Linked DNA regions of Arabidopsis thaliana. The protein of the gene in region 1 interacts with the protein of each later gene in a pairwise test. Each region holds a gene or a part of one and is shown in the gene's direction. Other genes may lie near its edges. The genes, in order: AT3G13440 and MGT9.

Region 1 (16,057 bases):
ACCTTAGAATTGTTTTAAAAATAGATTACATTGCAAGGAAAATGTCTACGAAGTAAAAGAATATATATAATGAACCTTAGTCGTATGTTTGATTTGATATAAATACACGTAAGTTTAGAGCTGTATACCGTACCATCAAAGAAATATTCAACTTAAGTTTGAAAAGAAATGAAAAGGAAGTTGTGGTTGATCGGTTCCCTTTTGGTTCTCTCTTTGGTGATTTCATCGAAGGCGGTCTCAGCTCAACCATACAAATTTCGTAAACTTAGTGAGTGTTTTTATTTATGATGTTATGAAATATAATGTAGTATACGTACACTCTTACCCACTCATAACTAGCATTTGATCTATACGTATGTACATAAAATCTTGTTAAGTTGTAGCATATGACATACCACGATACAAAGGCATCAACACGCACACAAAATTTTCAGAGTGTTACCGCGTGAAGAATGACAGAATGGTTCTGCAATTTCTGAAATGGCAGAATGTTCCATAGTTTGGAATTGTTTTCTCGATAACGCAAGTTTACAGAAATGCAGTTTTTTATTCCACTTCTTTACATGAAATTGGTATTACGGTTATTACATAAATTCATGTTCATCCGGGATGAATCATCCCTTTATTTTAATTTATGATTCGCATATTTAATTGATTCATGTTTTGCATTAATCGACAAAGTTGTGTATTATCGATATCTATACTAAGAAGTTACCTAAAATGTCTAGAAGAAGATTTAAGAATGTCAATGAAGATTGGAACACCTCATAGTGACTCGCCACCAGCACACGGATGTAGGGCTGGTGGATCTTGTAAAAAGCCGCCACCGCGAGGCAATGGCGGTTAGAAAAACTGGTTTTGAATGTGTACAAACATCAATATCCTTCCTTTTCTTAGAAATTGACAACGAACCAGTTTATTTTGTATGTATGTATATATGCCTTAACTCAATAAAGATAACGATGTTCATGTTCTTAAAAGCAAATAAGATCCTATCGATACCAAATTTTCATATTTATAAAGTCTTGACTCTTGACTTGTAGATAAAATTTGTAATTCTTTCTCTTGTGTGTGATAATATGTTCGTTTGTTTGAATCAAAAAGACCAAGAAATGAATCCGTATACAAGCATATTATATTTGACCTTTTCCTAATGTACTTATACAAGCATATTTGACCTTTTCCTAATGTACTATGCATATTTTATTTGTTTTAAACTTCTTCCATACGCTATTTGTATATATATATACTTGTATCTAGACTAAAGCCCAAACAAGACTGTACATATCAAATGTCTTATATTTTTGCTATCTAAATGGTGCACCATGCACATTGACTACCCATAACTAATTAATTAAATCCATATTTTCCGAATGAAATTATTTTATTGTGTAGCCTTTGCGTCGTCAAAGTTCTGAACTATACAAGATTGATAGAATATCATTTGAAAGCTTTCATATAATAACTTTTAAGGAACCCTTGTAGTCGTATACGTTTGATTTGATATAAATACACATGTATACAACGTATACCACCAAAAAACAAAATAAAAAATGAAAGCAAAGTTGTGGTTGATTGCTTCTCTTTTGGTTCTCTCTTTGTTGTTTTCACTCAAGACGATCTCAGCTGATCAACCATATAAATTTCGAAAAATCAGTGAGTATCATCAATATTTGTCATCCGGTTTGTTTCATCTATATTAACGTATGCTAAAGCCAAATTAAGGAATCTGTCTTCGATTTTAACGACTACATATAAACTCAATGGAAGGACCTCATGTTCCGTACTTTATTTTTTGTAGAAGACGAAATAAGAGAAATGATCCATATTCACAAGACAAAGAAGATTCAAACACCACGGAGTGTGACAACGCCTGCGGGCCAAGGTTCACCATCCAGTGTAGGTGCCCCGCACGCCGGTTGATATGGTTAGACGGATCAGCCAATCACCCAATGCATATTCGTACATCGTTTTTGTTTCTTTTTGTTCTTTAAGATTTGACATTAAATATTGTATGATTAATTATTTATGCACCCCAAATGTAAAAGGACAGTCCAAATCCAGGGAAAAATCAGGATTTTTGTTTGACTTGTACATATTTTGTTTGAAATGCTGACAAATAGAGTATCTTAGCTTTATCGTCAATAAATGAAAACATAGTAAACTTACGGAAGTATAAAATAGTTTAGTATCCTTTGACCCAATATAGCGTGTATAACATAGCTATTTCTTGACTTATATGATTATATCAGTTATTATATTATATATGTAGAATATGTTTATTTCGAAAGTCTTCTGACGCGCTACGTGAAAACTTGATCAATAAGTTATGATTAAACAAAAGTTATATATTTGATTGATATATATCTATACTCATGTACAATATAAGGTATCATCCAGAAAATGAAGGTCAAGTTCTGTTTGATTGCTTCCCTTTTGATTCTCTCTTTCGCGATTTCGTCATACGTCGTCTCATACAAATCCAGTAAGTATTATTGATGTTTGTATATCATCATCTTTCCTAAATATGCTAAATGAGAAGCTATGTAATTATAAAAGAAAGTTAGATAACATTTAGCTACTTTTTGTTTTTTACATGCATGTATGCATGATCAGTTCAATTTTTTGATACCTAATGAAAATTGTATAGAAGAAGAAACAATAGCAGAAACGATTCACATTCGAAAGGTAATGAAGATCAGAGTACCTCGTAGTAAGTCACCACCCGATCGCCAATGGGGTGAGGGTGACTCGCCACAAGCCGCAAGTCCAAATTCAGTATAAGGCGATGGCTATACGATTTGTGGCTACATACATCGTATAATCTAAGAAATGTTCCTGATTTGTGAACCTTATTAGTTTATGCAAAGGACAAGATACTTAAAAAGAAACCCAATGGCCGGCTCAAATGTGTTTTGATTATTTTCTCTCTCCATACAATTTTTTTTTGTCAACGAACCAAGCTGTCACCTAAATTTTAAATTACTTACGTGAGATTGACCTTGTCTTTTGTATTCACTGGGTTATTATTGGACGTGAAAACACGTTCCTAGATAACGATGTTCATGCTCTTTGACATCTTATATTATTATTATATTTTTATACGATATTCTGTGCATATGCTCTACGACGATCATCACTAGCTAGGTGTGAAAGAACATATTTTTTCTTTAACTAGAAAAATGCTGTTGGTAAGTCTGGTCGTCCACAATAAATGTCTTTTGATTTTGATCGAGATCCAATCACAAATTTGAAAATTCCACATACGCCGTGTTATTGAAATTACAATCCCGCTTTAGAAAAAAAAAAAAAAAAAAAGCTTCTCTTGCTTTTTATTTGTGTGTACTTATTTTTTCTTGGAAATTTATAGTCCCCAAAGTAATAATCATCATTATGAAACTTGACTAATGTTGTAGCTTTCGCAGCGACTTGATCGATATAAATACCCATTAAGTGATGGATCCACAATGTATTATATTGCACTAAATTTTGTAAGTTTACAGATAAAGAAAACCCATAGAAATGCAAAGAGTCTTGTGGTTGATAACTTTCCTTCTTGTTTTTTCTTCTGCATATTCGTCCCAAATGCTCGTACCTCAACACAAATCCCGTGAGTTCGGTGAGTATTTTTATTTATTTTATTTACTAACTGATTTTTTTCTTTATCAGTTATCATCTAAATGTTTGTGTCAATCTCCATGTGTAATAACTGCAAGAGAAAAATGAAAAGAAAAAGAATCAAATTCCAGAGATAATATCAAGAAAGATTGGGTGTCTATGGTGTGAAGTAAAAAAAAAGAGTTTAAATCAAATATATATAGTCATTGTTATATTTCTAATTTCCTACATTAACTTTCTTATAGATGAAAAAATCGCAACACAACGTAGTATATCACCACCCGCAAGGCACTGTATTAAAACATTTCAGCCAGCAGACATAAGGGCATCATATTCATGTAAAAAGACTCCACCCAGAGGCACTGGCGGTTAGACATACATGTTTAGAAAATTGTAAAATTGTTTGTAGTTTTTTCTTTTTACATATGATCATTAGCAGTGATAATGTTTTAATTTAATTAGTTAACCGAACATGATAAAGTATAATGTAATTTGTAATGTTCTTTTGGAAGATATATATATATATATATAATGTTTTGGAGTTTGGAGTTTTGTACTTTGCGACGAGAGTATAACTTCTTTTTCACAAGTACAATATATATACCGCTTTTATAATTGGTCACTTTTAGACATAGATTTCTATTTATATGTCCGTATTTCATGGAAAAGGAGAATTCTATTAAAAACACTATATACATACGTAACATATCTACCGATCAGACGCTTAATTTACAGTCTTCAAATGTATATGAGCTATTCTTTTTTCTTTCCATGTGCTGCTACATATGGATTTCAAACAATATCATCCAGTATTCAAAAACTAATAACGTGTTGCATGGACCAATGTTGAAGATGAGCAATGTCAAGCATATGTGTTCAAGGGTAGGGTTCAGATGAAAAGACAATGTTGGTGTCGTGTCTCACTACATTTTTGACCATTTCAAAATACGCTATAGATTTTTCTTTGCATTCGACCTTTTTTTTTATAAACTACGTACGACTAGATGAGCTCAGTTTTTTGAACAAAAATACTAGAAGAGTACGTCAATAATCTATACGTACGTACAATCATAAGAATGAAGACCTAGTCTTCTCTAGTTATATCTCCATATTTTACGTTTATTTCAAAGAATTAGGACCTAGTCTTTTCTACAGTTCCTTTGATCTATGTCGAACAAAATTCTACTTTTGGATAATATGGATATGGATATTTATAAACAGATTCTACTTTAACCATTTTATGATCAGTAACCAAGACTCCCCTATACAAAAGTAAGTGAATTGATTCATATCTCTTATATATTATTCTACATCATATTTAAAATTTGGATTCATAACATATTTGTATAACAATTCAACAGAAAAGGTTTCCCTTGTTTTTTTTTTGTCTTCGTCGTAGACTATTATTGTTTTGAAAGTCAGTCAGATTATATGTTTTCCACACGCTGCCTCGTTCCAAACTTTTTATTTTATTTTATTTTAAATCTGGTATAAATACACATAAAACATACATAGAACTATTTTTAACTACAGCTATACAACACAACGACAGAAAGAAAATGAAGAGAAATTTGTGGCTGATTGCTTTGTTTTTGGCTCTCTCATTGGTGATTTCATCTTATGCAGCTTCAACTTGGCCATACCAAAACCGTAAACTTTGTAAGTATTTATCATCCGATTCGATCCATATTTTTCTTTTATATGACTAATGCCAATTTTTCTAACAGTGATAATAGAATCACGGCCAAGTAAGTCGAGACCCGCGCCCCAGTGTTGTTAGTAAGGCGAGGTTACGGAGAAAGAGCACCTGCCATTTATGAGTCATGGTGGTTAGATGGACCCATTTTATAATTATTTTATTTTTTAGTAACGAAAAGAAAAATCAGGGAATCAAAGAAAATACGTATTTAATAGGTTCTCTCATAAATTAGCTACAAAAAATAGTTCTGAAGTTGTAGAATTTTACGTTGTACTGAAAATAAAAGCCCATCATAATATTGTTTCCGACATTGAAGTAATTTCCGACGGTAACCCCGTTTTACTACTTGACAAAGGAGAAAACCATAACTCTTTTTGATTAGAATGAAAAGACACACATCATATATATGTTGGTAAAAACCGTTTATATTTAAGAAGACAGCTCATAAGTTAAAGCATTCAATTTTAAACGGGTTAGAAACAAAATTTTCTCAATTTGATAGACTTGGCGGTTTGGACGAGAAGACGATCAAAACTTCAGAGTTTGCTTCTCCGATGTTTAAATCTTAGCGTGAACTTCCAATGACGCAAAATTCCTTTGTTTGTCGCCCTTTTGCTTTCTATAAAAAAAACTCCTACGTTTTGATCTTCTGTCCGAACAAAAATTATTTGAGGAATCAAACCGTATTGATAAGACTGGCCTAATTTGGTTTAGTTAGTTGATTCAACGAACAACTATTATTTTTTAAAAATGGTTTTTAAAAAAAAATCTACTAGGTATGATGTTGATCGATAATTATGCTTTTTAATTATAGTATTAAACATGACACCCTGTCTCTAATTTGACCTCATTAAACTAAGCAATCTCAAGCAACTTCATCGATAAAACAAAAGTCCAAAAACTTATTAAATCTTCTTATATAATTAATGTTATTTCTTAGAAGCATCATTTGTTGTAAATATGTAATAAACAACTCCACCGCATCAAGTTTTTCTCTTTATATGACCACCCATTAAGTCTTTGCATAGTCCTAAAGCTTAAAAAGATGAATTGGAAGTTGGTTTTGCTAATTGGTTGGATTCTCCTCTCGTCTATTGCATCAAACCCAGCTTTGGCTAAAGTTACTTATCCAACTCGCACAACAAGTAAGTATCCATTACCTATCTCTTTTATTTTATAGTTGTTATTTGATAGATATTCAGATCAAATTCGTGGATCTATTATCTATACATATGCCACGTAAAACTCTTTGATGTATGGAAAAAGTTGATCTTGTAGAATTAATAATTGCTTTCGATCAATAAATGATAACTACAAACTAGCAACACTTTTGTTGTTTAATTTGTATAGAAATATACAATTGTTAATTTACATATACATAAATTCTTGAAAAAAATAGGAAATTTATTTTATGGTTAATCGAATTTTAAATAGGAAAATGGCTTGGAAATATACACATCAGCAAAGGAATGAAGATTGGCTTTACAGGCAGTTTTTCTAGACCTGCTCCTCACGGAGGCGGTCCACCGAAGATCATTTCTAAGTTATGACATGTAACGATCTTAATTAGCGATCCAATCTATATATAATCTATTAACTTGTGATTTCTGATTATTTGTAAAGTTGTTTCATTGTGTGTGATACTCTTCGAATAAATTAAATGAAACTTCGATATGTAAATTATTATTTAGTTCACTATACGATTTAAAATCGAGTATTGAGTGACAACAAGGTCTTTTTCATTTTCTCACCAAAATGATGATATGATTAACATTGGACTTTTCAACAAATGCAAAAATAAGGAAAAAAAGACAAGACTTAGAAAGTCAATATGTTTTCATTGCATGCATTGACGTATACATATCAGTATCACACCAACTGTAATGAGAACGACCCTGATATATATAATCTCTGCCTAACAGTCTAACACTAGCTAATTTATAGTTTATAAGATGTTATATACATATATACCCGGGAAGAAAGAGGAAGAAAGAAAAATGAGTCTCAAGTTCATTCTTATAGCTTTGCTTCTACTTTTATGCATCACATTTTCCAATTCGACCGTCGTTCCTTTTTCCAAAAACCGGAAAATTAGTAAGTCTTCATAACTGCATAAGTGCAAATATTGTTATTATATGGTGTTAAAATGAGGTTTGTAATATAGTTTTAACGTGTAACAAGCCAATGAAGAAGAAGAAGAAGAAGGTAGAGAGATTGACATTCACAAAGGAAAGAAGATCACCGTAAAAGTCAGCCGTTCGCCTCCTGCAAAAGGCTGGATTTGTTGCAATGATTAACTAAAAGGAGCTATGTGAACATTTTCATAAGATCCCATCCTTCAATTTCTATGAAGATAATATCGACCAAGATCAAACTTCAAAGCTTGAAATTAGAAACGTGTATTTGCTATATCTCAACCACTAATTTAAGGGGCTTTCGGCCCATTACACGCATGGGAAGATTCAATTATGTTGATTTTGTAAGTTTTGGGGCTAAAGTGTAAATTATTGAAACTTGTAGGCTTGATTTCATTATTCCAAGTTTCCACTTTTTCTCCTCCGCCGTAGCCGGTGCTTCTTCTTCGTGAAAATCTTTCGTCTGAGATTTTTTCTTTACTAGTTGAATAAAATTGAAGATTTCGAAGACTACCCAAAACCGCGTTTTACAAAAAGCCAGATTCTTTTTTTTTTTTTTTTTTTTTATAATTTCATTAAAACTACCCAATGGGCTTGGGCCGAAACTTACAAACAATTCGGTCCAGTTACAAAATTAGGGTTTTCTGACACATCGCCAGGAAAAAGAAAAAAGCTCGCCGCCTGTTGACCGTCGCTAGCAGAGCGACCAAAACCTAGATCCGGCGGACTCAAGTCCCACAGCTTTGTGGCCGCCTCCGAGAATCGTCCACCACCGACGAAAGATTCCGGTTTTCGTCTGTAGAGACTCAACTCCAACGCACCAACCCACCACAAGACTCCCGGAAAGCTAGCCGCTCCGACGTAGCGGTTCCACGGAACCGGATCCCGACCTAGCAACCCGAAACACTCAGCGATAACACTTCTCTCCCATCACCGGAAAATAGCAAAGACCCAGAGCCAAACACACGTCGATCCGGACCGGTGGAGACCAAAAACGGCAGACCTAAAGACTGGTGGCTCAGTCAGACTCTCTAGATCCAAAACCCGCTGCAGCCATCTAAGATCCAAACAGATCTACTGTTAACCACCGCATCAGACAACGAACCCCCCCTTACCCCTCTCCAACTTCCGCCGTGGACGCAGCGACTAGAATCACGGGTGAGCCTGAGAACCTCGCAGCAACCCTCAGCGTCCATAACCAAGAGACCCCCGCCGCAACCTTCTCGACCGACAAAACCAGAGCCAAATCCACATCAGAGAGAGAGCTCCACACCACACGTTGACGGAGACAAGCATCGGCTCACTCCTGGACTTCCTTGAAGAGGCTTCAAACCGACGATGAAGAGCAGATCGGAACAAAAAGAAAAAGGAAACTAAATCTACTTACCGGAAATTGTCTTCAAGAGAGAGAGAAGGGCACGACTTTCAAGGCTACGATTGAGCCTCCATCTCATAAAGCCAGATTCTTTATCTTCCATAATCGTATTAAAGCTACGAAAACCTCGATTTCGTGTTCAAAACTTGGATTTGCTCGCTATCGAAAGGTCTGACCTTTAATCCTTTTCATGGGTTTAATCGTTCAGATATGATTTCTCGTATCGGTATTATAGCTTAGAGGAAAAGTGTCGTAGTTTTGGCAGATGAAATTAAAATTGGCTCTGTATTCCCAAATAGTTGAAACCCATTTGATGAAGCTATCTTATCAGACTTTTACGCATAAGTTTTCTTGTGGTCTTGGATCGTGTCTAGTGGCAATTATCTTCTCTGAGTTCTTTTGCTTAGTTTGATTGTCTGTTGTTTTAGACGAATGGCTGACCAAGGATTAGAAGAGAGTAATCCAATGGACCTTAGCAAACATCCTTCAGGGATTGTTCCTACTCCTCAGTGAGTTCTTTTGTGCCTTTGTCTTTATTTTAGTCTCTTAAGAGTTAGTGTTTGTTTGATGTCTATGGTGAACTTTAGACTGCAAGCTTGTTTATATTTGAAATATGGAATACACCTTCTCAAAGTTAAAACCTTCTAACTTGTAATGGTGTGGTTTTTGTTTGTTTGTTTAGTAGTCAAGTCATTTACAAGATGCCACCAAGAATTGCTGCTATCCGTCTTGTAAGCTCGCATCGTGAGGTCTATGAACCATGTGATGATTCATTTGCGCTAGTTGATGCATTACTCGCTGATCGCACCAACCTTATAGAGCACAACCCTAAGATTTGTATGGAGATTGGATGCGGAAGCGGATATGTCATAACTTCACTTATACTTCTTCTTCAAAACGAAGTTCCTGGTGTTCATTATCTCGCCATTGACACTAACCCGATAGCTACAAGAGTGACAAAAGAAACTCTAGAAGCACATGGAGTTAATGCTGATGTTATCTGCGCAGATTTAGCTACTGGTCTAGAGAAGAGACTTGCTGGCTCAGTCGACGTGATTGTGGTGAATCCGCCTTATGTGCCAACACCTGAATATGAAGTTGGAATGGAAGGTATTGCCTCTGCTTGGGCAGGAGGGGAAAATGGCCGGACAGTCATCGATAAAATCTTGCCTGTGGTTGATCTTTTGCTATCAGAGAAAGGATGGTTCTACTTAGTGACATTAACTTCAAATTTCCCAGCAGAGATTTGTCTGATGATGAGAAAGAAAGGTTATGCTTCGAGAATCGTAGTTCAGAGATCAACAGAAGAGGAGAATCTCGTTATCCTAAAGTTCTGGAGAGACAAGGATGAGGAGAGCCAGGACAAAGAGACATCATCATCATCGTTTGTTTCGCAGTTTTCGAAATCCTTATCTTCGCTTATGGAGAAACAATGGCGCTGATACTACAAAGATGGCTAGAGATCTCATAAGCATGCTTTGTTTAACCAAGAATTCTCTAGTGTTTTAATTTTTATGAAAATCATGTTTTGTGTTGGTGGTGTAGTCGTAACAGTGATTTGATTTAGTGGGGTTATTGGTTAGTGGATTTTAACTGATGTGAAATTTTGATTTTCAATTCCACATTATGTGATTTGAAAAAATCAATGAAAAATTATAAATTTCTACTTGAAAAAAAATGTTCACTAAATCGCTAAATATGCAAAAATATAATAGCGTTATAACACTAAAGCTGACGTGGCCGAAAAGGAGTGGACTTTCACATAAAACCGAAAGACAGCCGTCATCGTAGCATTACCGCATAAATTTCCAAAATTACCCTCGATGTAACAAGGACGGTCAAGGGTAGCATGGGTATGTATATATAGGTATAAAGGGGCTTAAGGATCCCAAATCCGAAACGCAAGTCGATGACCTCCTCTCTCTCACAGATCTAAAAACCAGAAGCGAGAGAAACAAATTCACTCTCCCCTTATATAAGCACCGATTTATAAATCTTTTTCCCTCTTCGATTCTCAATTCTTTGTATAAAAGGCTTCTCCTTTTCTCAATTCTTCGGCTTCCTTTCGCCCAAACTCTTCCCTCGAATCTTTCCTTCTCGTCTTAAAGCTACGAAACCCTAGATTTCGGATTTCTTCGCTATCCAAAGGTCTGACCTTTAATCCTTTTCCTGAGTTTTTTCGATTAGATCTTATGAGTTTCATCACCTTAAGAGGATAAGTCTCGTTGTTTTGGAAGATGAAATCTAAAATTGGCTCTGTATTCTCAAATAATTGAAACCCTTTTGAATGATAAGTCTATCTGATAAGACTTTTAAGCATATTGTCTTGGATCGTGTCTAGTGTCTATTATATTTTCTGGCTATTGCTTATTTTGATTGTGTTGATTTTGGTTTTGTGTAACTATAGAAGAATGACTGATCAAGGATTGGAAGGGAGTAATCCAGTTGATCTTAGCAAGCATCCTTCAGGGATTGTTCCTACTCTTCAGTGAGTTCTTTTGTGCCTTCGTATTTGTTTTTTGTCTCTTGGGATTAAGTGTTTGTTTGACCCCTGTTGACATCTTTGATGTTTTGTTTCAGAAACATTGTCTCCACGGTGAACTTAGACTGCAAGCTAGATCTTAAAGCCATAGCTTTGCAGGCTCGGAATGCTGAATATAATCCCAAGGTATTTGCATTATATTGTGACTTTTTGTTTTAATAAACGGTAGAAAAGTTGTTTGGAAGAGTACTCTCTCCTTGAGTTGACCTTATTGTTACCTGAGATCTGATTGGTCTATATACTGTGTACTGATTAATTAGAATCTAAGATATTATCTGTTTTTGGCTTTTGCTAAACTAATTTGCCTTAGCTAAGCTCGTCTTATGTAATACCTCTTGTGTTTTATGTTTCCAGCGTTTTGCTGCGGTGATAATGAGGATCAGAGAACCGAAGACTACAGCATTAATATTCGCCTCAGGGAAAATGGTATAGTTATTTTGGTTGGCAATACTTTTTCATAATTCTGAAATTTAATTACATTGGTTTGAATTCTCTTCTGAATTTGGCGACTAATCTCCAATTAGGTCTGTACTGGAGCTAAGAGCGAGGACTTTTCGAAGATGGCTGCTAGAAAGGTAGATTTTTTTTATCTTTAACCTCTTTAATTTAACTTTCTTATAGATCTGTTCTTCTTTACTTTAGCAATAATTGCAGTATGCTATTTGCTCCTCATTTGTTTATGCTAATAGGAGATGTTTTATTGTTTAGTATGCTAGGATTGTGCAGAAATTGGGATTCCCTGCAAAATTCAAGGTACAATTTCTTTAAACCTTTTCCCTATCCAACATTTTTTTTCTTACTTTTGCTTATACTAAATATATTCAATTGTTACATCCTGCAGGATTTCAAGATTCAGAATATTGTAGGTTCTTGTGATGTCAAATTCCCTATAAGACTTGAAGGTCTTGCTTACTCTCACGCTGCTTTCTCAAGTGTGAGTGATCTTAACTTATACATTTAGTAGTCAAGGACCGACTTTTAGAGATAAAAACGTTGTGCTGATGGCCATTACCTCTCTCTCATATTGGCGTGTGGTTAGTATGAGCCCGAGCTCTTCCCAGGGCTGATTTATAGGATGAAAGTCCCAAAAATCGTCCTTCTAATCTTTGTCTCTGGGAAGATCGTAATAACAGGAGCCAAGGTAATATCTCACTTCTCTTTAGGTTTTGTGATAATACTTGTTATGTCTCTCTCTAGTCTCTAGCTCTTCTGTCACCTGAAAAAATCCTGAGATCACTCATTATCAGATGAGAGATGAGACCTACAAAGCCTTTGAGAATATATACCCCGTGCTCTCGGAATTCAGAAAGATACAGCAATAGTATGTAACACACCCGTCAACTTTCCTCATCTTTCTTAGTAATGTTTGATTTCTCGATTTATTCGTGCATGAACCTAATTGTTGTGTTTATCTTTTATAGGGTCACGGATTTGTTCCCTGCAAAACTAGTTGTGCGGTCTTAGCCCCTTGGAGTTGCTAAAGCTTGCTGAGAATTTTGCCCTTGAACAAAGGCTTTCACAGTAGCTAGACTCTCACCTTGTGTTTTGGTTCATAATATAACATTGTATATACACAATGGAGATTCTAAAGACAATTCTTCGGTTCTATTTTTTTTCTTTTTCTTTCCAAGATATGTCTTACATGTATGTTGCTGTAGTGTCCTCACATTTCCACTTATGTTACAAGTAGAACCTTAACTCAGTGTGTAGCCCTAAAGTCTTGTTTATCATAGAGATTGGCCAAGATTGTGAACAAAGATGGAGAGTTTCAAGATCATAGATTAAATAACAAAAGTGGTGATTACAGTATCCATTACATGTCTGAACCACCAGCATCAATAATTATTTCGAAGATAGGAGACAGAGAATCATGTGTACAATGCTAAGATGGGCTAGTAATTCACAGTGGATCTGATTGCATCCAATATCTGCATCAAATTGTGAGCCAGGGAAGAATTAGCAACAAAAACGAAAATATATGTATAAGATACAGACCAGAAACAAAACTTGCCTTGTTCTTGGTTGGCATGTAGAAAGGTTCGAACACTAGAGGGAAAGGAGTGTCCAGGCCACAAACTCTGCTTACAGGTGCTTCTAACTGCAAAAGTAACCAGACATGTAAGCAAATATGAAAACCAGACATTGTTACCAAAAATTATAATGCTGTAGACAAATATGACTTGTTTTTACCCTCAAGAAGCAACGCTCAACTATAGTTGCAGCGATCTCGGCCCCAAAGCCTCCTGTAACAGGAGCTTCATGGCTAATCTGCAACCGAAGTAAGCAAACACATTTATTCTCTGAGACTTAGGACAATGATACTCACTCAGAGAAGCTTAACTTACAAGAAGTCTGCCAGTCTTTCTCACTGAGGTCTCAACGATTTCCTTATCCCAAGGGATCAGAGTCTTGAGATCTATCAATTCACACGATATTCCTTCCTGCAAAAACATTTTGTTTCATCATCTGTATCGCCAAAGACTAATTAAGTGCAAAACATAAAAACTAACGTTTTCTGCGTCAAGACATGCTTGTTCCATGATAGTGAGCTGTGCTCCCCATCCAACAAGAGTTATGTCGGAACCTTCTCGCATAACCTGTGACAAAAAGTTTTCATTTATTAGTCTTAGAAGTGTACTAAAAGAAGAGACACTAGAAATGGAACCTATATACCTCTGCCTCAGATAAAGGTATCATATAGTCATCTTCAGGGACATCCTCTACCGCTTGACGATATAGCCACTGAAGAAGAAGAACAAAGGATCAAAGACTCTTTTACAGGTTCTTGAAGTTGAAAATAACTCAAGAAGTAGTACCTTTGGTTCGAAAAAGACAACGGGATTCGGATCACGGATGGATGACAATAATAATCCCTTAGCTTCCCGTGGACTTCGAGGAATAACAACCTACCCAAAACATGCAATTTTCATATACACCTAAGAATATGAAGCAAATAGAGAAAGAAGAAGCTTTAGTAAGAAGATGTACTTTGATACCAGGGACATGACAAAAGAAAGCTTCAGGGGACTGCGAGTGGTAATGTCCACCGTGACCAACTGCTCCGTACGGTGCCCTAATAGTGAGTCCTACAATTGTCACATAAACCCCAATGAGTAAAAACTTGGTGTCTCATAACCAAGAAGGCACAAGAAGATATGAGTTTACCTCCACAGTTAAACTGGTTTCCACTTCGGTATCTGAACTTTGCAGCCTCATTAACAATCTACGAAATCACAAAACTCCATAAAGAGAACTCATGCGTCATCATAACTTGGTTTAAAGGTAAAGGTAGCATTTTTACCTGATCAAAAGCCGGGAAAATATAATCCGCAAACTGAATTTCCGCAATAACTCGATTTCCCTGCAAGCGAATAAGTAACCAGTAAGATGATGTGATAGCAATGAGAGGTAAACAGAAGAAACAAAAGAAGAGAAGAAGTGACCATTGCAGCTAAACCAATGCCAAAGCCAACAATGCCTTGCTCGCAGAGAGGAGTGTTGAAAACTCGAGATTTCCCAAAACGTTCAGCTAATCCTGTTGTACATCGGAAGACACCACCAAATCCAACATCTTCCCCAAAAACATAAGACCTTCACTCAAGTGACTCCAAATACATTATAAAAACCAATTCAAATGTACCTTAGACTTTAGGATTGAAAAATGCGAGAAAAGCTCACCGAGGATCGGTCTCTAAAGCGATGTGAAGAGCTTGATTAATAGCAGAGTATAGATTCATCGATTTACCACTTTCAGATACATTTTCAACCGTCGATAGCATCCTATATCCATGACCAGAGACCGGAAAAGATGATCCCCGGCAGAATCTGCGTACAAGAGCTGCCGCCATTTACGCAAAATTTAGACGCTTTCCACCAACGAATCAATCTGAAAACTACAGAGGTTTAGCTTAAAGTTCCTCAAGTTTCTTCTGGAGAAGATCACACAAATTTGATACTTTTGGATGAAACCAAAACAGACATGAAAGTACTATCTTTTGTCACGGAGTTTCCGAGATAAAGCGTTGGAGAAGCTATCTAGCCACGTCAGATCAGACAACAAGTACTTATTTGATCAGCTTCATTTATTATTGGGATTTTAACCACATCAGCAATTTCGGCAAGATAGATCAAAACGACACATCATACATTGGAATGGTGAAATGGAGAGCTGACTAAAGTTAGGTTCTCTCGGCTTCTTTGACAATTATTGGTGACAGCAACAAAATTATGAGATCAAGGTCGTTTTGTTTTGTTACACGAAAAAAATCAACAATACTTATCTCCTTGCTTTGAAAATCTTAAAACATGGATTGATTCAGATAACTTTGGAGAATGACAGAAACAAGACGAGAGAGGCAAAAGACCATCTCAAATTCTAAACGACTCAAGAGAGTCAAGTCTGAAACCAAAGCAAGAAACCAAAAGAAAAGAAAACTCTGCCTAAAAATCCAACAGACATGAAAAAACAAAATCCCACCCTGCTTTTATCTCCTTTTCTCTAATTCTTCCCACGATTTAGTAGGTCCTATGCGCATTTTTACAGGGTAGGAACAACAGAAAATGAAAAAGAAACCCAACATAAACTTGTAACGAGACTGCGATTTTGAAGAAAAGGAAAAATGAAAACAAGAAAAGATTGAAAAAAAAATAACTGGGATTTAAACTTCTAAGGGCAAAGAAACGGATCC
Region 2 (16,438 bases), on another chromosome or scaffold:
TCAGACCAGGCTTTATTGTAGTAGCAAATTAGCAACCGACATTAAACTAGTACTAATATAAAATAGACATAGTTATTACTTAATGCTAATTAATCCAAAAGGAGAAGTATACTCATAGTAATAGTTAGAGCTCACCTCATGTTTTCCTGTAAAACAATAATTAATATTTGCAGACATTACTTAGCAATCATTATCTTTGTGACTTTATTTAGTTTAACGAATAAAGTGTAAATCCCTTTTTTACTTGTGAATTAAATGTGTCCTATGCAAAGTCCAAACAAATAAATCTACTCATTTCTTCTACTTGTTATATATGTATAGGTGGGTTTTTACTTTTTAGTTTATACAAATATTTCTGAAAATCCCTTATTACAAATAATGATAATAATTTGTTAGCACATGTGACAATACTTGCAAGTTGCAACGTTTTAAATCCTTTTTGGCTTTTTCGGTTAAAGCTTGCAACATTTCTTTGGCGACACTAAATCTACATGTAATTTTTTTATAAATATACATATATCGTCCGTAAAAATGTCTGAGGAAATTTTTTGTTTCTTGTTTTGTTTTATTCAAATTTGGAAATTGTGTTTTATTGGTCCAAGCAAACTAAAATAAAATCAGACACATGCATTGGATGTTGATGTGGAAATTCGATCGCTTATCTGTTATATATTGTTGTAATACATATTTTCAGAAAATATTCAAATAGTAAAATCCAAGTGGTGCATACTTATTTTTAAAAAAATTCATTTGTAAAAATACAAATATTAGCCTTCATATGTTATGAGTCAAATCAACTGTTTAGCTAATTGGATTTAGTTGAAAAAACCTACGCCAAAAAGTAAACAAAAGCTATAAACTACGAAGTAACTAAATGTTTTAGGACTATAGAATCTTCCATTACTAGATGGATAATTTTAATCATGCTTCCCATTAAGCTTATGTTTTCATCAAATTAAGTATATAAAACGGCGTTAATTGAACTAATTTATATGTAGATCAAGTATAATGTGAATGAGTCACGCGCATGAAAAAACTTAAAGTGACAGGCTGTCATGCAAATGAAAACAACTGTTGAAACTTGAAAGTCGAAAACCATTAAGATTCACGGGCTCGAAACAAAGAATGCAACTTGCTCTTGGACCTCGACAAAAACTTACCATTTGATAACTAATACGACACCGTCACGGGTCACTACCAAACACTTTCGCTTATTGGGGATCTATGACTTTTCTTTTTACACACACAACGTAAAATGGTGATTAGTTACTGGAAAACTAGACTTAATTGTCACATTGTGAACAGTATATAATAACAATTTTTAGGGCATTCACTTTTGTTAAAAGATGTGTCTATGTGGGATCATCAACTGGACCACATTAAGCTAAATGATTCCACATAAGTTTCAGTATTTCAAAGTAATCTTAAAACACTTTGTCTTTCTTGTTTACACGCAATAGTTAGCCACAGCTCTTAATGATCATTTTCAACCAAAAAACGACTTAGCAAACTCTCTCTTTCATATATGCACACGACACAGTCCATTGGACTCAATCGTGTTGAGTATCCAAACCACATATATCGAATTGACCATACCTTAACGCTTAACCAAACATAGTTATTTCACCAATTATCTATAAAGATATTGCTACACTTAAAGAAGATGCCTACTTCTTGATAAAAATCTACCATGCTTTTGGACGTGAAGAGATACACAGACCAAAAAACTCAAAGATCTCGTTATTTTGAAAAAGAAAAGCATATGTAAAAAAGTTTGATATGGGGTCGTCTGAAACATTGTACTCTATAGCCAAACGAAATCTATACTTACAATTTTATTTTATACCGAAAAAGGTAAGTTTATACGTTGAGACAAAAAGAAATAAGTAAATTTTATACGTAGAATATTCGATGTACACTTTATGTATAAAGTTTAAACCCACTATGCTTTATTCCTTTTTGTTGCAAAACTATATAAAGTAAAATCAGATTTATGATTTAACAAACACATGACAGAGGTCATAAATCCTAATACTAGTATCCACAAACACCGTATGGTCCGTATCATTATTTCTTTCCTCGAAGACCGTATCATCTTTTTCACATAATCTTAATTATAATAGGTCAAAATAAATAAATAAATGTCACAATAATTTATATTAACCACAGATTCTTTAGTGAGAGCGTAGTAGTAGCTTACCACTCTTTATTACTATAAAACCAGTCTCACTAAACCAAAGCCAATATCCCAAGAAATCGAAACACAAAGCAATGGGCTCTTCTTCTCCATTAACAAGGAGAAACAGAGCACCACCATCCTCTGTTTCCTCTGTTTATCTAATCTTTCTCTGTTTCTTCCTCTACTTTTTAAATTTCTCAAACGCTCAATCATCGCCGGTTTTCGCCTGCGACGTAGCTGCAAACCCTTCTCTCGCCGCCTATGGTTTCTGCAACACCGTTTTGAAGATCGAATACCGAGTCGCTGATCTGGTCGCGAGGCTCACGTTGCAAGAAAAGATCGGGTTTTTAGTGAGTAAAGCTAACGGCGTGACTCGTCTTGGGATTCCAACGTATGAATGGTGGTCTGAAGCACTTCACGGCGTTTCTTACATCGGACCCGGCACGCATTTTTCTAGCCAAGTTCCCGGAGCTACGAGTTTCCCGCAGGTTATACTCACCGCCGCTTCTTTCAACGTATCTCTGTTTCAAGCCATTGGCAAGGTAATTAATTTTTTATCCACTTTTGATTTTTGTTTTCAAAATTTTATTTTCGTCCTTTGCTTTTATTCTCTTTTTGGATAATGGGAATATCTTACTTATTATGAAACTGGGCCTCTCCTTTTTTTTTGATCTTTCGTTTGGTACAAGTAAACACTTTACAACACGTTATACTACGTCGTTTTCGTACCTGTAACCAATAATGAATTTCTCCCCACACCTGTTTTCAGTGCCATGATTAATATGATTATGATTCATGGTTAAGTTTCAGCTCATTTCTTCTAAGAAATATAATAAACCGAATATGGTTTTGTCAATACAATTTCAAACCGGATTGGATACACATGGCTTTTTTGAATGACATTGGTATCACTTATTTGTTAAGGTCGTCTCAACGGAAGCGAGGGCAATGTACAACGTGGGATTAGCCGGACTAACGTATTGGTCACCGAACGTGAACATATTCCGAGATCCAAGATGGGGAAGAGGGCAAGAGACTCCAGGAGAAGATCCATTGCTCGCTAGTAAGTATGCTTCAGGGTACGTTAAGGGTCTTCAAGAGACTGACGGTGGCGATTCTAACCGTCTCAAAGTCGCCGCCTGCTGCAAACACTATACCGCTTACGATGTCGATAATTGGAAAGGCGTAGAACGTTACAGTTTCAACGCCGTGGTAAAAATCTAAAAGCTAAAAAGACATTTTCCAGTGTTTTAACTGTTTTTGTCAATTGTGTATGTGATGTTGTGGTTTATTTGGTTAATCCGGTTCAATGGTACTAAGTTCGGGTTGGGTACAACATTTGGTTAGACCAAATACATTTTTGAGTGTTTTAAGTAACTTTTTTTGTGCGTTTGTTTTGATGGAGTAGGTGACTCAACAAGATATGGATGATACGTATCAACCACCGTTCAAGAGTTGTGTGGTTGATGGGAATGTGGCGAGTGTTATGTGTTCTTACAATCAAGTTAACGGCAAACCGACATGCGCTGATCCAGATCTGCTCTCTGGTGTTATCCGCGGTGAATGGAAATTAAATGGGTAATGATCTGATCTGATCCGATCAGCTAAGTTTAAATCCTTTTCGTGTGTTTTGGTTTTGATTTTGGTTCTATTTTTATAGGTACATTGTTTCAGATTGTGATTCAGTAGATGTCTTGTATAAGAACCAACACTATACAAAGACTCCAGCTGAAGCTGCAGCCATATCTATATTGGCAGGTTTGGATTTAAACTGTGGTTCATTCTTGGGTCAACATACAGAGGAAGCAGTTAAGTCGGGTTTGGTAAACGAGGCAGCTATCGATAAAGCGATTTCGAACAACTTTTTGACCCTTATGCGTTTAGGATTCTTTGATGGAAACCCAAAGAACCAAATCTATGGCGGGTTAGGTCCTACCGACGTTTGCACGTCTGCGAATCAAGAGCTAGCAGCAGATGCAGCAAGACAAGGCATTGTTCTACTCAAGAATACTGGATGCTTACCGCTTTCTCCTAAATCGATCAAAACACTAGCCGTGATTGGACCAAACGCGAATGTCACCAAAACAATGATTGGAAACTACGAAGGCACGCCGTGTAAATACACAACACCACTACAAGGACTAGCCGGGACGGTATCTACAACATATCTACCAGGCTGCTCCAATGTAGCTTGTGCTGTAGCGGATGTAGCCGGCGCCACGAAACTAGCAGCCACTGCAGATGTGTCTGTGCTTGTGATCGGTGCCGATCAATCAATCGAGGCAGAGAGCCGAGACAGAGTCGACCTGCATCTTCCTGGACAGCAACAAGAGCTGGTGATCCAAGTGGCTAAAGCAGCAAAAGGACCGGTCTTGCTCGTCATTATGTCCGGTGGAGGTTTCGATATTACATTCGCTAAGAATGACCCAAAGATCGCCGGAATTTTGTGGGTTGGTTATCCCGGAGAAGCCGGTGGTATCGCCATTGCTGATATCATCTTTGGCCGTTATAATCCAAGTAAGAGACTCTGTTTCAAACCGGTTTTTGTAATTGCAAATTTGAATAAACCGGTTTTGGTTATGTAGGTGGGAAATTACCGATGACGTGGTATCCACAGTCGTATGTAGAGAAAGTTCCGATGACAATAATGAACATGAGACCCGATAAAGCAAGCGGGTATCCGGGTCGGACTTACCGATTCTACACCGGAGAAACAGTATACGCATTCGGAGATGGACTCAGCTACACCAAATTCAGTCACACTTTAGTCAAAGCTCCAAGTCTCGTTTCTCTCGGTCTCGAAGAGAATCACGTTTGCCGATCATCGGAATGTCAATCGCTAGACGCGATCGGACCGCACTGCGAAAACGCTGTCTCCGGCGGTGGATCGGCGTTTGAAGTTCATATCAAGGTACGAAACGGAGGAGATAGAGAAGGGATTCACACGGTGTTTCTATTCACGACGCCGCCGGCGATTCACGGATCGCCGAGGAAGCATTTGGTAGGATTCGAGAAGATTCGATTGGGGAAGAGGGAAGAAGCGGTGGTTAGGTTTAAGGTAGAGATATGTAAAGATCTGAGTGTGGTTGATGAGATTGGGAAGAGGAAGATTGGTTTGGGAAAGCATCTTCTTCATGTCGGAGATTTAAAACATTCCTTAAGCATTAGAATCTGATTCTATATTTTTATTTGAGGAAGAAAAAAAGAATATTAATATGCTTAAGCTTTTGCAAGTTGGAAAAGAAAAGTAATAAAAAAAAGAAATTGTGAATCTCTTTAAAATTATAGCATTAGTAGCCGAAAATGTGGGGCATATATAAACATAATTCGAATATCTAAAATATATCATGTGTAATTCATGTGTAACATAAATCTAGCTAATATCAGTTAGAGTTAGATTTATGTTTGGTATTTCAATTTAAGTAAATTTAGTCTTTTTTTTTTTAATTAGTTGCTCAAACTAATAATTCTGATAACAAGCAGATAAACTCGTAGTATATCCCGATCAAAAATAAATTAATTTTTATTTTCTTAATCTAAACTAAACCGGGTTTTGTGTCGAATTTAGGTGATTCGACTCAAATATGAACAACATTTACCAGAAATCAGGGTTATTATTACCGGTTTATTGCGGTTTACATTTTAAATATAAATAAGATTCACCTCTAACAGAATATATCACGTTTTCCTTTTTTTCTGAAACTGTAAAACTCTCTCACAAAGCAAAAAAACCAAACCTAAACAAAAATCTAGAAAGAAAGATTTCCGAAAATCTTTTTAATGAAAAAAGAGCAGACAGGACGAGAATTCGCTTTTCTGAATCCTTTAGAGTATTGTTTTCTCCGTCGAATTCGCATGAACACTTGAGCTCAACAAGGTCAGATTCTCTTGTTCGCTTTTTTTTTTTTGATGAAGAATTCGACTGTTGTGTTGATGCTGGTGCTCTGAATTTTACAGACGGCGTGGAAGTGGACGGTGAGGTAGTTTTTTTTAGTTTTTGAAAGACATGGCGCAAAACGGGTACTTGGTTCCAGCGGATCCTTCGGCGGTTGTGACGGTGAAGAAGAAAACGCCACAAGCGTCGTGGGCTCTTATTGACGCGACGGGACAGAGTGAGCCACTCGATGTTGATAAGTATGAGATCATGCACCGTGTCCAGATCCACGCTCGCGATCTCCGGATTCTAGACCCCAATTTATCTTACCCTTCCACTATTCTTGGCCGAGAGAGAGCCATTGTTCTCAATTTGGAGGTTTGGTTCTGTTTTTTGGTTCTTCAGGCATTCATTGTTTCTGGGTTTTGTTTTTGTTTCAGAGTGTAATTAGTTTTGTTCCTTCTTCTTTATGCAGCATATCAAGGCTATTATCACTTCCGAAGAGGTTAGTAGTTTACTCTTTGATTCCTTTGCTTACCACACTTAGATTTGTAGGGTTTTTGCAGTAAAAAGTTTCGATTTTTATTTTGTTAGGTAGATTTTTTTCTGAATATGCAGATGTTCATGTTAAAGTTTGATTCTTTCTTGTAGCCAGTTTTTCAAAATGCTGACAATGTGTTAAGGAACTTGAGCAATCACTGAACTAGGCAAAAATTTGGCTAATTTTTCAGTTCTGTTCTTACTATGCTATAGTGTGTTGAAAGTTCATAATATCAGCCAGGCTTTGATCTATTTAGCACTATGGAATGCTTAGAGGAGTATAGCTTTTGAGTTCTCTTCTTGTAGTAATGACTTGGGCTTATTACAGGTTTTGCTTCGGGATCCGTCTGATGAAAATGTTATTCCAGTTGTGGAGGAGCTTCGAAGACGCTTACCTGTTGGAAATGCATCACACAATGGTGGTCAAGGAGACGGGAAAGAGATCGCAGGTGCTCAAAACGACGGTGATACTGGTGACGAAGATGGTATTGTCCCTAGAGACTCTTGGCTCTTTTCCTAAACCATCTAAACTCTGTGAAATTCATCTCCTTTTTGATGACCCTTAATTTGCCTTTTCATATATGTTGAAATGTCTGCTTGTTGCAATATAGAATCCCCATTTGAATTTCGGGCGCTGGAAGTAGCTTTGGAAGCAATCTGTAGCTTCTTAGCTGCAAGGACAGCAGAATTAGAAACAGCTGCTTATCCTGCTTTGGATGAGCTTACCTCAAAGGTAGGTACCTCAATGATTTATTATCACCAGTGATCCAGTTTTCAACTACATTTTTACATTCGTCTTGTAGATTAGTAGCCGTAATTTGGATAGAGTTCGGAAATTGAAGAGTGCCATGACTCGGTTGACAGCTCGGGTTCAAAAGGTGAGCAGGTATCTTTTTCTTATGACTTATGAGTATTTGTAAAGTTTGTAATATGAATAGAGAACTAAGTAGCTTCATCGCCTTTTGCAGGTAAGAGATGAACTCGAACAGTTGCTGGATGATGACGATGATATGGCAGATCTTTACCTTTCAAGGAAACTTTCAAGTGCTTCCTCACCGATTAGTAGTATTGGTGAACCAAATTGGTATACTACTTCCCCAACAATAGGCTCTAAGATTTCAAGAGCAAGTAGAGCGAGTTTAGCCACAGTTCATGGGGATGAGAATGATGTTGAAGAACTTGAAATGTTACTCGAGGTTTGTTGATCCTGCACAAAATCTTTTATCTGATTCTGATCTATCTTCCATTCAAATGCCAAGTCCAAATACACACGTCTTGATATCTTTACAGGCATACTTCATGCAGATCGACAGCACTTTGAACAGATTAACAACAGTTATCCTCTTGCTCCCTTTTCTTTCTGTTCTTTTTTGCAGACTTTTTTTACTTTAAAAACTTAATTTTTGACTCTGATGCAGCTACGTGAGTATATTGATGACACAGAGGACTACATTAACATCCAGGTATCCAAAAACGAAACCTCAAAATTTTTAACATGTTCTTGAAATCTGAATATAAGTCATTATATTAAAAGCTAAAACTCGTCGGTTTTCTATTCACAGCTTGACAATCATCGGAATCAGCTTATTCAGGTACGTGAATGTCGAAAGCCAAAGTTTTTTTAATATGTCATCTTCTTTTGTTGATCATCTTCAAAATCCTGCAGTTGGAGCTAGTGTTAAGTTCTGGAACAGTTTGCTTATCGATGTACTCTCTTGTCGCTGGAATTTTCGGGATGAACATTCCATACACATGGAACGACGGTCATGGATACATGTTCAAATACGTAAGAAACCAGAATTCTATTCGCATGAGGATGAAATAAAGATCTCTCTCAAGATTAACTTATGTTTATCGGGGTTTTTGGTTGTTGCAGGTGGTGGGCTTGACGGGGACACTTTGTGTAGTCGTGTTTGTGATCATAATGTCGTACGCTAGGTACAAAGGACTTGTGGGATCTTGATGGCTGAATTTGGGTTAGATGGAGAGATTGTGAAGGGGCATTGGGCAGATCTTGTTTTCGATTATTATACTTGTGGTCGTTCTGAGTTTTGAACGAGCTTCACAATTATTTTAGTTGTCGCATCATAAAATTTAATCAAACATATTGAAAAAAGCAGAAGCATTGTGACTTGTAATTGCAAAGATAAGCTCTACCATCGATTCCTTACAATTAGAGCATAGAAATCAAATTTAGGATCCTTGATTCCTTATTAGCTAGACAACTTTTCAATAATTATCGGTTGAAGCCCGTTTAGACCCGCGGGCTTAGTGCCTATTTTAATATCGCTAGTTGATGTTATAACGTTTCTATTTGAAGTCTCTTCATGATTTAGGTTTCCATTGTCACACACAAAAATGGTGTGTTTTGGATTCTCTTGTAAGTCTTATCAAAAGAGAAGTTTTTGAGATTACATTGGCAGAGAAGATTGGGCTAGAGTTGGGCCTGTTGATGTTTATTTTGAACAAAGTCAATTTAAAATCCATCCAATAAGGAGCTTTAGAAGAAAATATTTTATAAAATAAAAATGTATGCATGCGAACGAAGAAACAAACTCTGTCCTAAACCCTATGCTGATGAAGTCAAAACCTAAAAACATGATGTAAAATATTGCAACAAGGCTTTCGTGTTTCCACATACACATTTGTTACCAGATATGTTATTAAATGATTAAGAAGGTATAAAATATCGTCGACGTCAGCCGTTTCGCGTGGAGAGTTGAGGCCGAAGCTGACGGAATCGCCGACTAGTAAAGATTCCTTTTATTTTATGCCTTTTTTGTACTTTTTCTTTGATATATAATTCATTTTTATTTAAAATATTATGATAGATTCTTCCACTCTGCAAGGAACCTCATTGGCTGACGTAATAGGATTTGCCTCTTGGAACATCATAAAAATCACAATTTCATTCATTTAAAAGAAAATAGTCGTTCGTCTTTATTGTGGTCCTTTGGCGACAATTTTCATCACACCACGACAAAACAATTGGTATCAAATTATATAAATAAATTGTTCTTACTTCTTCTTCTCCCAGCGCACATCTAACATTTTGTTCCTCTCATTAATCACTTCAATTATTTTCCAACGAAGAAATATTTCATTTACGTACATCAATGATATTATTTGCATTGTTTCATATTTTTGTTTTGTTTTGTGATTGTTTCCTACTATACATATAACATATACAAATTACAATTGATGTTTGAATATGTATGTTGCTTGAGTAGAGGAAATTTGAACGTTTTCGCTTATAGTCTTATAGATCTAGATGTAAGTACAAACATAAAATAAAGAAACAGAATCACAAGTCTTTTATTTCGTTGAAGCTTGATACCACAAGTGCTTCGCATTTGGATAGTGGAATCTGATTAAATTTTTTTAAACAATACTAGGTTTAATGATGCCAGCTAATTCTATATATTTTTTACTCCATATTCCTGGCATGAGAAAAAAATAATCGTTTTTCTGTCTCGTTTATTAACAAAAGCGTCACATAAAATGACAAAAACAAACATATACATACATCAATTAAGTTCGAAAGACTCATTCAGCTGATATCATCATTACAAACATTCACAATATCCCAAAAAACAATATAAATAAATAAAAACCAAGTGTTCATAAAATTACGATGACGTCATAAGAAATTAGGGAAGGAATCAGTTCTGACCGGTTAAGACGGTAATCGGTTTAATACTTTTATTAATTCAGAGAAGTGACTTGTCGCAACATCACTACCACTCGAAAGAAAACAGAAAACAAGGGGCATAAAAGACTTTGTCTCCACTAAAGACGGCGTCGTTTTCATCGAAAAGCAAATTTTAATTGATTACCCAAAATAGAGCGTTGTCTCATCCAATCAGAACCGTTACTATCGACGGAGACAGAGGGTATTTTGGGTAATTCATTGGGATTCCCTCACTCGCGGTTATAAACGAGAAAGAGAGAACCTGAAAAAGCCTAACACACAACACAAACACGCTCATAATAAAAACCATAAAAATATCTCCTCTTCTCTTTTTTCTCTCTTTTTTTGTAGCCCCGCTAATATTTCGACACCTGTTTCAGTCTCTTTTTTTGTTTCATTCTTCTTCTTCTTCGTATTCCTCGATGTTTTAGACGAAGCAGGGACTCTCAGTTTACGAGTTACGGAATCTCTCTCTGTCTCAGATCCATCAGGTTTTTTCTTATTCCTTCTTTAGTACTGTTTTTTTGTATCTTGTTATTACTGATTGATCGTGTTATATTAATGAATGCATGGTTTGTTTTTGTTTCGTTTTCTGAAATTTGTTCAGCTTATTTCTCTAATTGTCTCTTGCTCTTTTTAGGGTTTATCTTTTTTTTTTTTTTAAAACCTTCATGATGTTAACTTTTTAGAGTACGCATGATGATTTCTCTAATGATTGTTTGATTAACTCTGATTATAACTTTGATTAATTTTTTTGTTGTGAATTTAGATCTTCTTCCTCAAAGTTAGAAACTTGTGAGATATAGAGATTCAGAATCTTTGTTGATTCCATTTTTGTTTAATAGTAACAATTAGTATTTCCTTAGATCTTGTTTATTGAGTTTGGATCTTTATTTTACAACCTAAAATCGTGAGACATTGCTTCTTGTTATCACTTATCACTTATCAAACACAAAGTTGACTTTCCATGTTATATAAGAAGTTTTCAAAGTCTTAACATTATTCTGATTTTGCTTGAATTATTTTGAGTAACAAAAATTATTTAGTTTTTTTTTTTTTAATACTGTGTACTAATCTGTAAACCAATCTTATCTTATCCTTTCTTTCATTCTGTTGTTTTGGGAAATTTCTAATTTTTCGAGCATAGAAAGATGTGTCCTTCACGTTTCACTTTTACCTAAGGCTAAAATGTTGCCACCATTAGTCATTTTGGTTGGTACTTGGTCCTTTTCAGACACAGTTGTAGCCAATTATTGGTCTCTGTACTTTGAATCTCTTAACATCACAAGCCGCAACTTGTAATTACACTATTGACTCAAATGCTTTTCTTGATTATTAGTCTCGTGTCATTGTAATGTTATTGATCTTCTTGCTTAAGCTTTCTACTAACAAGATTTTGTAACTGCTGCAGAATAGTTTCTTGCGCAAACCCATTCTTGAAGATGGACAGGGCAGATACATGGGGATTTGTCAGCGGTGGGAGATGTTTATATCTCAAGTTGCTTTTATGTTTATAGCTCTACAAGGTGGTGTTCTAAGTATTTATTGTTTTGGTCATTCTATCTCCTCCGCTGCATTGTTCTGTCTCTTCTCTTCATATGGATTTGAACGAGAGTGTTGTTCACTTTTCTCGTGGCAATGGTATTGCAAAGCTTGACAATTTCGGCGATACTGCTCTTAGCTTGAAATGTCTTGGAAGCAGTGCAGGGAGATTGATTGGGAGCTCTCACCATAACCATAAGCTTTGTTCTGATGTTTCTAATTGTCCTGATGGTGGTTGCCGGTTGGTTCTCGGTTTGGGTCCAACACCGCCTTCGTATTATTACAATGTCAGGGTCAATGATAATAACAACAAAGGCTCTGCTTCTTCTGGGAGTGTTCAGGAACTCTCATCAGGAGGTAACTCAATCCTGCAACTTGGTCCTCCTGCTGTGACCATGGATACTTTCAGCGGACTTGAGGGTTCTCTGTTGACATATGCGGATACTAATGTGTCCCAAGCTGCTGTTGATGAGGGTTCTACCTCAGCAAGGCGATCAGGTGGCTATATGCCATCGCTTCTTTTCGCTCCAAGGACGGAGAATGTTAGAAAACCTTCAAGGATGCAAGAGTGTAGTACTAATTGTGGAACTGATGCTTATAATTCACAGCTGAGCCATGAGTCAGAGTTCTCTGTAAGCGCTTTCTCTGACAGGTCGGCCTCTGCCACGTCTTCTCAGCAAAGGATGAGCAACCCGAAGAAGTGCAAGTTTATGGGATGTGTTAAAGGAGCTAGAGGAGCTTCGGGGCTCTGCATTGGCCATGGAGGTGGCCAGAGATGCCAAAAGCTAGGTTGCAACAAAGGTGCTGAGAGCAAAACTACTTTCTGCAAAGCCCATGGCGGAGGAAAGAGATGCCAACACTTGGGATGCACAAAGAGTGCTGAAGGCAAAACCGATCTCTGCATATCACATGGTGGTGGAAGACGGTGTGGATTCCCTGAGGGATGTGCTAAGGCTGCACGTGGCAAATCTGGGCTCTGCATCAAGCACGGTGGTGGTAAAAGGTGTAGGATTGAAAGCTGTACACGAAGTGCTGAGGGACAAGCTGGACTCTGTATTTCCCACGGTGGTGGACGGCGTTGTCAGTCTTCAGGCTGTACAAAAGGTGCTCAAGGAAGTACAAACTACTGCAAAGCTCATGGTGGTGGGAAACGCTGCATATTTGCGGGATGTACAAAAGGAGCGGAAGGTAGTACTCCGCTTTGTAAAGCACATGGTGGAGGAAAACGCTGTATGTTTGATGGTGGTGGTATTTGTCCTAAGAGTGTGCATGGTGGGACGAGTTTCTGTGTAGCTCACGGTGGTGGGAAGAGATGTGTTGTGGCCGGGTGCACTAAGAGCGCTCGTGGGAGGACTGATTGTTGCGTGAAGCACGGTGGTGGGAAACGGTGTAAGTCTGATGGTTGTGAGAAGAGTGCGCAAGGTAGCACTGATTTCTGTAAGGCACATGGTGGTGGGAAACGTTGCTCATGGGGAGGAGACTGGAAATGCGAGAAATTCGCTAGAGGAAAGAGCGGTTTATGCGCTGCGCATAACAGTATGTCACAAGATAAAGCTGGAAGCAAGGTTGGTTTGATTGGACCGGGACTTTTCCGTGGCCTTGTCTCTACTTCTTTACAAACCACAACAACTGCAACTACTACTACTACTACCACTGATCATTCTCAATCTGGAGTCAGTGCGGTCTCTGATTGCATGGACTCCATTGATCGCCCGCTGCCACCGTTGCATCATCAACCCGAGAAAAGACAGAAGCTGATGATACCAATGCAGGTTCTTGTGCCTCCATCAATGAAATCCTTAAGCTTCTCAAACACCGAGAGACCCGATATCGAAACAAACAACAATAGTAGTGGCAGCAATGGGAGGAACATATTTGACTTTATGATTCCTGAGGAAAGAGTTCATGGTGGCGGGCTTATGTCTCTGCTTAATGGTAACATGAAACAAACACTCCGTTGATGGAATCTGAAAGCTTCCTCTCTATGTGGTAACAACAAGGCTAGAGTCTGTGTAAAGCTTCATGTAATATGTATAGTTTTTTGGTTTTCTTTTTGTTTCTCTTTCACTCTTGGGTCCTTTGTACATTTCATGGGTCTCTGTTTTTGTATGGTCTCTGGTCTTGACTTGACCATCTAGTCGATGGCTTGAACCCAAGTCTTTGTTTATTTGATCATTGTTATGAATGTTGCAATGTACAAGTAAAATGTGTTCTTATGTTTTGTACCAAAAAAAAACAGAGCTTACTGGGTCGAATCAGCATTTCCGGTTAAATAACTTTTGGTTTAATTCGCCTTGACCGGTTTAATGGAAGGTCAAAGAAACAGCGTCAAAGTCAACATACAGAAACAACCAAACCAAGTCATCAAATGGATAACGGAATCTTTCCGCCGTTATATTTTCCGTTAGCCCTATATATACACCGAGGCGGTTAACAAACATTTCGTCTCTTTGAAACTAATTTTTTCCCTCTTCTCTCTCTCTTTGGCCGTGGAGATTTTTCTGAGCAAGCTTCGTGATGCTATCGAACCAGAGGAAGACGAATTAGCTTCTCGATCACGATTCTTTTAGGTATGTGATTATGATTTAAGTTCCGATTTCGAGCTTTAGGTTTAGCTCTATCGCGATTGAATCTGTGTTTTTTTCCCGTTCCCGATTCCTCTACAACCCTAGGTTTTGATCGGAAATTTCGGTTCTTCTTCTTCGTTTTCTACTTCAATCGTTCTCGCTTTTGATTTCTTCAAGTTCTGATGATGATTATCGGTAAATTTCAACCTTGGATCTTTGGTAGATTTTGCTGTTGTCTCGTGAATATTCATCGCCAGTTTTGGCGGGAAAATGTTTCTGCGGTGGTTTGTTTTTGATTGAATCTGAAACTTACTATTGTCTTGTGCTCTCGATTACATTCTTCAGATCTTATCGGAAAGCTTTAGCGGCAGAGAGAAAGAGTGAATAAGTCGAGACTTCTCTGGTGATTTGTTATTTTCTTTGTGGTTTTTGGTGATTGCAAATCCTCTGGTGATGTTGATTAAAAAAAGTCTCATTTTGAAGTCTGGTGATACAAGGATCCACAAAGGAATCTCAGATTCTCCTACTGTAGCAATATGATGGACAAAGACGAGCCGTTTGTCTACAACGAGGTGGATTACAAGACCCCAAAGCAGAGTCCCCAGACGTGGCCGATGGATAAGATCCGGCAGAGCCGTTTTCAACATAAAATGTCATCACTTTTGAGTCCGGTGACTCCTAAAAGGAATTACAACATTAGCAATGCGAAGACACTCCTGCTGCAGTGTTTACGGGACGCTAAATCAGATCCACTCCCTCCTAGGCGCTTTCCGGTTTCATGCTCAGATGAAGGAATCTTGATGGATGGTGTTCTGGTCACATCAGCCACTAAAAAGAAGGTGTATGAGTCTCCTTCAAGCTATCCAGGACGATCAGCACGTTCTTCAATCTTCCGGAGTCAGCTCAAGAAGACTACAGAGTGTAGCAGCCCTATAAGCGATTCAGGACCTAACCAGGTTCGTCTTTCGCTCTTTATTGTTTACATATTTGTGAGATTAGAATCGGTAAGAACATCACTGACTTACTTAAGAAACATTGCATGTGATATTCCACAATGGTCACAACATAGAGTTGCTAGACGTTAGTGACTTGATGTCTTTCGATGACTGTTTTAGATCAAACGAAGCTGAATCAGATAATGTTGGAAATGTCTATTTTTTGTTGAACATGATTCCAAGTATAGATGATGCTGAACTTCCAATGCATTGATCTATTCAGGAGAAGCAAATATTGTGTATCATTGTCGCAACTACGCTCACATTTATGTATTGAAATGTCTGTTGAGAGTTCTTTGGTGATTTTGCAGGAAACCACTCGCTCTCAGCAATCTTCTTCAGCTGGCAAGGAAAATATGCTGGCAAATAGTCCTTGTACACCAAAGGTTTTTACTTTACAACGCATTGTGTATCAGGATTTCTGAAGAATCATAAGTTTATAACCAGTTCTCATTTGCTTTTATCTGTGTTTATTAGGCTGCTAAACCTTTCAAACTGCAAGCTTCTGCTGAACCATTCATCCTCACACCAAGACAAGCTGCTTCTCCTTATACACCACAGCAACTCCCATATGATCATTATAGTCCACAGTTTCCATGCGCTGTAAGTTTATCTCAACTCACACTTTTTCTTCAATGATAAACCCTTTTTGTTTCAGAAACTAACTCAGACTGCAATTACGTTTGCAGAATCCCCTGCACCTGCAGCTATACCCGTACCTGCACCGGCCTCGGTCTCTGATCTACGTTTATCAGAGACCACCACTTTTTCCGCTCTTACCCCATGGGCCTGACCCCTATACGCTAGATAGTCAAAAGGACTTTCCTCCAATTCTCTCTGGCAACCAAACACCAACCACCAGTTCACACTCAGTACCCACAACACCTTCCTCTAGCCAGCTCAACACAACTACCAGCGACTCACCAGTCCACACTCCCATATCTACTACTCTTACAGTCGATCTCAACACCAGTACTACCACCTCCACCCATAGCTCCTCACCTTCTGTTGATAGACTCGATACAGTGGCCCAAATACCAGACTTGTCGT

Evidence for each region.
Region 2: the proteins of AT3G13440 (region 1) and MGT9 interact in a two-hybrid assay, tested with the Arabidopsis thaliana proteins (one large-scale study listed by BioGRID).

Annotation. Positions count from the first base shown.
Region 1 is NC_003074.8:4,369,079-4,385,135, forward strand, and holds AT3G13440 (S-adenosyl-L-methionine-dependent methyltransferases superfamily protein), read left to right. Parts: upstream 1-8,018; 5' UTR 8,019-8,996; exon of another isoform or gene 8,997-9,093; intron 9,094-9,255; 5' UTR 9,256-9,259; coding exon 9,260-9,336; intron 9,337-9,509; coding exon 9,510-10,269; 3' UTR 10,270-10,497; downstream 10,498-16,057. Other genes in the region: AT3G13432 (uncharacterized protein), read left to right, coding at 2,404-2,485, 2,651-2,784; AT3G13433 (uncharacterized protein), read left to right, coding at 5,178-5,277, 5,346-5,398; AT3G13435 (uncharacterized protein), read left to right, coding at 6,363-6,462, 6,752-6,867; AT3G13437 (uncharacterized protein), read left to right, coding at 7,270-7,411, 7,499-7,614; TBP1 (TATA binding protein 1), read left to right, coding at 11,239-11,315, 11,408-11,495, 11,724-11,795, 11,894-11,944, 12,078-12,122, 12,211-12,303, 12,409-12,510, 12,617-12,690 and 1 more; DIN4 (Transketolase family protein), read right to left, coding at 13,262-13,297, 13,381-13,467, 13,560-13,637, 13,715-13,810, 13,880-13,966, 14,043-14,111, 14,186-14,275, 14,358-14,455 and 4 more.
Region 2 is NC_003076.8:25,799,143-25,815,580, reverse strand, and holds MGT9 (magnesium transporter 9), read left to right. Parts: upstream 1-5,869; 5' UTR 5,870-6,056; intron 6,057-6,136; 5' UTR 6,137-6,185; coding exon 6,186-6,431; intron 6,432-6,528; coding exon 6,529-6,558; intron 6,559-6,921; coding exon 6,922-7,078; intron 7,079-7,204; coding exon 7,205-7,326; intron 7,327-7,396; coding exon 7,397-7,471; intron 7,472-7,561; coding exon 7,562-7,789; intron 7,790-7,883; coding exon 7,884-7,928; intron 7,929-8,011; coding exon 8,012-8,056; intron 8,057-8,155; coding exon 8,156-8,185; intron 8,186-8,259; coding exon 8,260-8,379; coding exon of another isoform or gene 8,380-8,418; exon of another isoform or gene 8,419-8,460; intron 8,461-8,469; coding exon 8,470-8,556; 3' UTR 8,557-8,883; downstream 8,884-16,438. Other genes in the region: XYL4 (beta-D-xylosidase 4), read left to right, coding at 2,272-2,721, 3,104-3,391, 3,588-3,757, 3,840-4,696, 4,765-5,354; AT5G64550 (loricrin-like protein), read left to right, coding at 11,883-13,787; AT5G64540 (mucin-like protein), read left to right, coding at 14,930-15,349, 15,700-15,774, 15,866-15,991, 16,078-16,438. UniProt on the Arabidopsis thaliana protein: Low-affinity magnesium transporter that mediates the influx of magnesium. Plays a crucial role in male gametophyte development and male fertility.